2 linked regions of the Oryzias latipes genome follow. The protein of the gene in region 2 binds, or shares a complex with, the protein of the main gene of each other region. Links are inferred from orthologs where the notes say so. Each region holds a gene or a part of one and is shown on either strand. Other genes may lie near its edges.

Region 1 (4,103 bases), on a different chromosome or scaffold from region 2:
TGCTGGTTTATTATAGTCCCCATGTGGACTCCTGGATGAGGGGAAAATATAACAAAAGAAAAGAAATACATAAGTATATTTCACTTATCGTGTAACAAACAATAAACACATGTGTCCTACAGCCTGCACATGAGGTATAATTAAAAAAACAACATTCATGTAGTGAACACATCCTTAATGCAGCTGCAAAAATCCAGAATCTAACCTTATTTTGATGCATCTGCATCACTACATGCAGAACATGGTGTGATCACAACCTGCGCCACTTATCGGAAGGTTTTCAAGAGCTCTGCCAATGACATCGGCTTTAGAAAGCGTACTGCAGCGGCATTTGTGGTCCCATTCACACAGCTTGTTATAACAACAAACCGGACCGGGTCGGTAGCTGCAGAAACAAATGCTGACATGTATTATATATTTCTTTTTGTACAACTGTCATCTAAAATCGTATAATATTAAAAACTAACGTACACAATCTGATGAAAATAACATCGTGCCATTTGTAAGACTTTTAATAAACATTCAACCTTAAATTACCCCTACAAACCCTTAGCATCACGCTAGCATACTGTCTGCTTCTTACAGAAGCAGCGTCATTTCCGGTACAAGGCTTTCAAAATAAAGTGATATTTTCCAATGATCCCGTTTTATTATTTCTATCGTTTACTAGAGTCAAACATCTGCTCGGAATACTACCAGATGGGTGATTTAATTAGGTTACGTGAAAAAAAAAACATTTTAATGTTTCACAATTGTAAAATCTTATTGACTCAGTACATACTAGAATTTATTTGTTTGTTTGTTTTATGCTATAATTTCAAGAAGAGTAAATACTTAGTTACGTTTTATGAAGTGGCTACTGACAAGTGGATTTAAAATAAAGTTAAAGTCGGAAATAAATATATTGATTGTCTTGGTGGAAAATTAATGTCTTAAAATAGTCCGGCTCACAAAATGGCAGGAAATCAACCGCCTGGGTAACTCGCTCATTGTGGACCACAGAAAACGTCTCTTTTTTGTCAGTCGCTCACGGATTTTCAATGGCAAACATGTCGAGCAGGAAACAGTTCCCAAAAAAAGCAAAAATAATAGCTTAAAACAGAACAGTGACAACAGTCATAAGTAACAAGACATATTTTGTATTTCCATTGGTTTGAAATCATTTTTATATACCACCGTAAGTTTCACAGTTAAATGTTTTCTTAAGGTTACATTGTGGAAAATTTGTGGAAATTTTGTCTTTTAATCTGAAAACTCCAAAGCGGAAGTGTAGTATTTTACCGAGAGAATTGTGATTTTACTTTGTCGTCTTAGAAAGGAAGAATTGAAGGTAGCTTGTAGTAAAGAATAGTTGGATAAAAAGGGGACACTGGTTTCTATTTTAGTTATTTTTCGCTGCTGCATTATTCCCCCTCTCCAGCCCCTTATCCTGGCTGAAGGTTGAACGGGTAAAATGGAGGCGGACAGATCAGGCGGAGGACCAAACCCGAACTCCGGAGGCGGTGGCGGCGGCGGCGGCAATAGTAGCGGCAGTGGCAGCATTGGAGCGGGGCGCAACCCTAATGGGCCCAAAGCATCACAATGCCCGGCGACATCAGCTGCCGTGAGTGGGGCCATGGCAGCTGCAGCCACGGCGGCAACAGCGGGGGCCGTCCCCGGGTCGTCGCAGCCGCCTCAGGAGACGCAGGACGGGGACTCGGGATTGACGCTCCCCGGGATCCTGCATTTCATCCAGTACGAGTGGGGACGTTTCCAGGCCGAGAAATACCGCTGGGAGGCTGAGAGGGACGAGCTGAGGGTAAATATGTCTTCTCGTTAACTTTTTGTTAGTTGCAATATTGCCGAGTTGAGGTGAGTAACCCAAACTGCGAGCCTTATTGGACTCATTTTACCCATGAATGTGAAATAAAAGCCCCTTTGCCTTGCTGTCATGTTGTTTCATGACAGCAGCATGCTAATGTGTGCTAACATAACATCCCAGAGTCTTTGAAGATGTTTACAGTTTGGCTGCAGAGAGATGTGGTCCAGTGTTTGCTCTCCATAAGGAAGTCACAGGAAAACCCCTTTCATACGTTCAATTAGGTGTAATTACTTAAACAAATCTAATATTTTTTTTTATTTTTATCTATAAAAACAACCATTTAATATCAAGAAAGGTTGAATTTCATCATGACTAAGATTTAGATTTTTTAAATTAAAGCAATGACCCTACAAAAACTTAAAATAAAAAGAGCCTTGTTATAATAATCTCAAGAAAGTGTTTCAATAGTATTATAATCTTATTTTAATAAAACATGTCTGGCTGAACAACATTTTTTTCTTAGAATTCACTTTTCTTTGCCATTGGCAGACTTTTTATTATTTTATCACTTATTTAAAGAACAGTTTTAACATTGTTTTTGGCTTATTATTAGAGGGTTTATTTTTGCAGTGTAGAATGCTTTTTTTGCTTAAAAATAACAATTTTTTTTTAAACAAAAATAGTTCACATATTTGACCAATTGAAATGATCTTTTTCAGTGTAAATCTATCATATTGTCTGGAATTGTGGTAATTTAGCTTTAGGGTTGGAGAGGATTTTATCAATGCCTTTATTACGACCTCTACTTTATACAAAAATGTAGCTTTATGTTGTTTTGTATCAGAAAGCATGGTTTCTTTTTGTCAAAATGGAATTTGTTGTCTTATTAGAGATCAAACCCTTAAATAATTAACTTAAAGTCAGCTTGGCTTGTTATGGTGCGTTAAAAATAGTTTAGCAAGGATTCAAATCTTGGCCAGAGTTATGTTTGTTATTACATACGATTGCATACGTTTTTGTTGTCTGGAACAGTGAAATATATACGATGGAGCAGTTTTCAGGTCCATCTGCCCCACACTTTTAACATATATTATCATCCAGTCCTAAATCATAGTCTCTGCTTGTCTGTCTTTGTTTTATTTTTAATGCACCAACATACATTCTTCTTTATGGTGCATTTATAAAGGCCATCGATCTGAGTGTTTAGAATACAATATATGACTCAGTGGCATAAAAATGCCCTATAGCAGGGCCGGAGTTCCCTGATGTCCATACTTGCTTAAATGCCAACAGCAAAAGAGCGAGGTTGGAGTGTACAGCTCTCCAGAGTGATTACCCGGCAGCGCTTTACTTAATAAATTATTTCACAATTACGTAAGGAAATAAAATGCATGCATAGATATGTTCCCTTCATTTGGAAGTGTTCATCTTTTCATTTTTTCATCCCCTATGTTGCTTTCCTTCCCTCAGTTTTTAATTACAGGAATCTAAACGGTATCTGATGGAGTTCTCAAGCTAGGGAGGAAAACCACAGAAGACATATCATTGGCTTTTTTTCTTCTCTCTATTGGGCTTTTTTTTTTTTTTCCTTTTCCACTTTGCTCTCGACTCAAAACATGAAGTTATAAATAGTAGCCTGATAAAAAATGAATGAACAATAACAAACTGCCTGGACCGTGCTTGCTGCTTTTGTGGGCTCGGCAAAGAGCGGGAACGGAAAGTCCAAGGCAGGCAGGCAAGCGTCGGGTCCAACATGGCACTACTGATTGTTTCCAAAGTGGGTCTTTGCTGCACAAGGTTCGGCTCCACGTGCACAACAGCATCATGTGCTGATAGGATGAGGGGTTCGCTGAAGTGCAAGGCTGGCTTATATTTGAACACCCTGAGGCCACAGGCCGTTGGCTGTTGTTGCCAGTATGCTGAGCACGCCAGCGACCATCCCTGCTGGTTAAATGCTGCACGGTTAGCAACATACTGTGCATGCTTGGGGACATTGTGTGGTCAGCTCAGGTGCATTTGAATGTTTGTACACTTAAGGGGACACGATGGTAATGGAGGAACCCACTAAAAGATGCAGCAGAGTGATGGAAAGGATTAATGGAGGATTACAGCAGTGGAACTCAGGGAAGCGTTTGTGTCTTTGAGATGAAGCGGCCCACTCTCTGTGAGTGTGTGACTCTTGAGATCCCACCTGTGGTGGCGTGTCTCCATCGACGGGTTAGGAATTAATCCTCCTCCTCCTCCTTCGAACAGGTGGAACACGTTGGGTCAAATGCGGGACAGGGGACAGGTGGCAGCGAGC
Region 2 (4,134 bases):
ATGACGAGATGCTTAGAGCTAAAAGTAGTGGGAGAAAGAAGCAGCAAAGCTGATTTCACTCTTCAGAAAACAAGAAATATTTACTGTTTTTGAAGAAGCTAATTATACATTTTCATCAACAGTGAACCCTTTCTTTAAAAATATTTTGACCATAAGATAGGAAACATTGCTCATAATTTATCACCAAATGTTTGATTTAAAAAATTCGTTTGACAGCATAAAAGGCAGATTAAAACATCTAGATGTGTGATGTTTTCTGGCAATTCAATTTGTTTTCTTTCCTCTAAATAAAAGGAATTTATGTTGAAAAAAAATGTGTGGTTTATTCCATACATTTTAACTGTTACATATGTTTGGATAGTTCTACTTCAGCCAATAATGTCCGGATGTATTTTGTGCAAACTTGTACTTGTCTAGATCTAAAGAGCTCCGGAGGTTTTCCTAAATTCTGACCTGCTGATAACATTCCGTTACGTCTCTTTGAGGCTGATCTAAACCCATTTAAACCTACAGAGCCGCTCTGGCCAAGACACACCGAGCGGGTTCGTTTGATTTTCGTTTACATGGGTCCCGCTCATGCCAAACAAATCCTGATTATTATATCCGCTGTTGAATAAAGATCACCCAAGCGGGTCTAACCTGATGCAGGAGCAGCAAAAAACCCGAAGCGTGCGTGCTCGGACCGAAACGCGGCGCGGGCTAACTGCAGCTGAAGGTGCGTTTGTTAGCGGACACCGGCGGAACCAGGTTACAGGTTATTACGTAAGACAGCCGAGGCTGCTGTCACCGGCACGCGCCTCCAATGTCACTAAAACAAACGGAGAAAAGGCGCCATTTTGAGGTTTAAGCTAACACCCCGCTAATTAATAATAATTAAAAAAAGAACGGTCTGTCTGTGAGGCGCCGGTGGGGCGGTGTTACGTAATCACCGTGAGTTAGCTGGGTATAAACCGGCCTGGCCTCAGCCTGACACGCGTTGAAAGCTTACCGTCCCGGGTTTTAGCACCGCTGCCTCCGGCGCTGCTCCAAACGCTCCGCTCCAGCTACAGCAAACAACCGAAAAAGCCGCAAACGCCGCGAGAGTCGGTGTTGCTGCCAAACGATGTTCGAGTTTGACAACAGGGGCGGAGCTTAACAATCATTGCACGAGAGGCTCCGCAAGCAGGCCGGTCGGTTAAGCAAAACGACCGTACACAAGTTACCCGACATTTATGTAAGAGCTGCACGCGCGCGCTCACCCAGAAACTCCTCTCATCGTTTGATTTGCATGGCGGGTCTTTTTTTCCGCAGTCTTAACTTCCTTTAATGCATGTCGCTTTTTATTAGTCAGTGTTGATTTTTTTTATTTATGATTTGCATTGTTCTGCGTAAATGTATGCCAGAGGAACTGCTGAGGGAAATCCTGAGTTCATGACCGTCTCTCAATTTTGTCTAACTCTCCTTGTCCGCATAACTGCTCCAGCAACACGTTTGCGTCACAGTTTCTGCAACATCCCACTTTTTTATTACAATTTAGATGCTTTTTAATCGGTGCTGTTTTAATAACCGCGAGCTGCACTTTAAAAAGACCTTTATTTTTTAAATAATCTAGCATTGAAACTTAACAGTTTAACAGGAACAAACATGAATTTTTATTAATAATCACTCAACAAAACAAATCTCTTGTGTAAATTGCTGTGTGACAGGGACGCAAAATAAACTACATGTCCCATCATCCTGGCTACTTCCTGATCACTGCGCATGTGCAATCGCTGTGGGCCGTTATTGTGTCCTCCTCAAGCTTCAAATGAACAACAGGCTAAGCCCTCCTAAAAATAAATTAAATATTTATTCCGACGGAGCGGGTTCTTTTCGCCCGGCGTGTCTCGGCGGACATTCATGGAGCGTCTCGGTCTGTAGCTCGTCGTTTCGCCGGGCGGGGTGGTCCTCCGGTGAACTCGAAGGCCAAAAACGGTTTTCGGAGTGACAGCCCCGTTCGAGGCAGCAGGCTGGCTGTTCGTGTAGCTGCTTAGCCTCCTAGCTAGTTTCCCAGACAGCTGCGAGCTGAGGGGTAAAAGCTCGAAGGCCGTCTGAGTGTTGGCAGGGCAGAAGAGCCGGAGCTGGCGCTCTGCCCCCGCGACCGGCAGAACCATGGCACACCTTCGGGACATGCAGAACCAGGTAGGGAGAACCTATCACCTCACTTCCCTTCCTGTCCTAGACCCGAACCCCTCACAGTTGGGCTTTTCAGGAAAACCATGTAGCTCTGGCTCTGCGATCATAAATCACCTGTAATCGTGTTCTAACAGGTGATACAAGTGTAAAGTTCTCAAGTCCATGTTTTTTATAAATCAGTTTTTTATGCGGGATGACATCCCGGTTTGAATGCAGGTGTGTTGTGTAAACGGGCTGTTCCGTCCACCTGTGCACAGACTGTACAGTTCTCCTTCACGTCCGCATGGACTCTTTTTACCTGGACAGCACCTGTTGCCTTTAGCTTTGCAGTAAAGCCTCTTCCTGGAAACCGGAAGTGTCGTCACGCAGATGCAGGTTACTGATCTCATCTCACCTCGTTGATGATGAAGCAGCATGCAGCCCATTAAACGTTTTTACTGGAATAGATCATATAGATCATCCTAGTTGGTTGAACCCATTGTTTTCCTGTTTCACTTTCTTTATTCTAGTATCTTCCACCAGCTTTTGGTGCTTAACCCCAACACATTTTCAGCTATTTTAACCATTCAACTATTCAAATGTTCAGCTTTATCCACCTATCACTTTGGTCCTTAAAATCCTTGAACCTTTCAAGATATTCCAGGATTTCCAGGATCTTCCATTGAAATTCATGGGGAATCCTTGGTGCAGAAGCTCGCTGGTTCGATACCGGCTCTGGCATTTTTTTGAAAAATATATCTTTTGTTATTGTGCTGTTTTTACTTTATTTATGGTCAACTTTGATTATTTCTTTATTTCTTTTGCCAATTATTACCCTTTAATTTTCCTTTTCATTCAGTAATATAGACTCAAGCCTGCGTTTTCTTCTGGAAATGCAGCTCCTTTAGTTATTGGATGAGGCTCCCTGCTACACGCCGTCTCCCCATAAACGCTGCTCTACAGAGACGTCGACCTTGCTTTAAAAAGTTTGTGCATTCACGAGTTGTTGGAAGGTTTGCGGTTTTTCTGACGTCGATGCGTGTTTTTTTCTAAGTCGGACGGGCATTTTTCCGACCATCCCAACACTACATGAACGCAGCATTTCTCTGAGTTTGTCCCTGGGGGGCATCAACCCACTCGTGGAATTAGCATAAAATAAAATAAAAAGTCGCAGTTTTCAAATAAAAACCCCCAAGATATCATGGTTTAAAATATATACATTATTTTTGAATCCTAATTATAGCATGTTTTTGTCCAAATTCCATATTATTTCTCTTGTCTCATGGGGTGGATTACCTTATCCCCGCACTGATCTGCTCCTGGTCCGGCCTTCTGTTTGCTCACCCCTGGTGTAACGTGTGACCTGCGTGTTTTTATAAATACTTTGGGTTCTTTTCCGTGTTCTTGTCCAATTCTCGGTGCTGTCGCAGCAGTTGGCAGTGCTGAGGATCACACGCCTGAAAGCTGGTGTTGGAAAAGAAACGAAATGAACCGTGACGGAGGGAGCAGTGTTGTGTTGCAGGCAGCGTTTCTGTGTCTGCATGCTTGTTTGAAAGGAAGTGCTAACAGCCAGCGGTGCTGCTTCTGTCCACCCTCCACCAGAACACCCACCTGGACCCGGAGGAGTACTTCACCAAGCAGGAGCGCATCGGGAAGGGCTCCTTTGGAGAGGTCTACAAGGGCATCAACAACCGCACTAAGGAGGTGGTGGCCATCAAGATCATTGACCTGGAGGAGGCAGAGGATGAGATAGAGGACATCCAACAAGAGATCACAGTGCTGAGCCAGTGTGACAGTCCTTATGTTACCAAATACTACGGGTCCTACCTCAAGGTGAGAGAAAAGCTGCAACTGCCTGCTGTTTACCTGCAAGCAAGGCTTTTATTTCCCACAGTTGAACTACTGTGTATATCCCCCCCCCCCCCCCACCCCACCCCACCCCCCAGGGGACCAAGCTGTGGATTATCATGGAGTATTTAGGTGGAGGATCTGCTCTGGATC

Evidence for each region. Proteins that work in one complex are often made in the same cells at the same time.
Region 1: stk25 (region 2) and strn4 share a complex: the UniProt entries of both Homo sapiens proteins name them as parts of the core of STRIPAK complex. The link is inferred for Oryzias latipes from reciprocal best matches to the Homo sapiens genes STK25 and STRN4.

What each region holds. Positions count from the first base shown.
Region 1 is NC_019871.2:14,853,754-14,857,856, forward strand, and holds the start of strn4 (striatin-4), read left to right. Parts: upstream 1-1,270; 5' UTR 1,271-1,453; coding exon 1,454-1,798; intron 1,799-4,103. UniProt on the Homo sapiens protein: Calmodulin-binding scaffolding protein which is the center of the striatin-interacting phosphatase and kinase (STRIPAK) complexes.
Region 2 is NC_019875.2:5,713,980-5,718,113, forward strand, and holds the start of stk25 (serine/threonine-protein kinase 25), read left to right. Parts: upstream 1-1,269; 5' UTR 1,270-2,130; coding exon 2,131-2,160; intron 2,161-3,735; coding exon 3,736-3,966; intron 3,967-4,079; coding exon 4,080-4,134. UniProt on the Homo sapiens protein: Oxidant stress-activated serine/threonine kinase that may play a role in the response to environmental stress.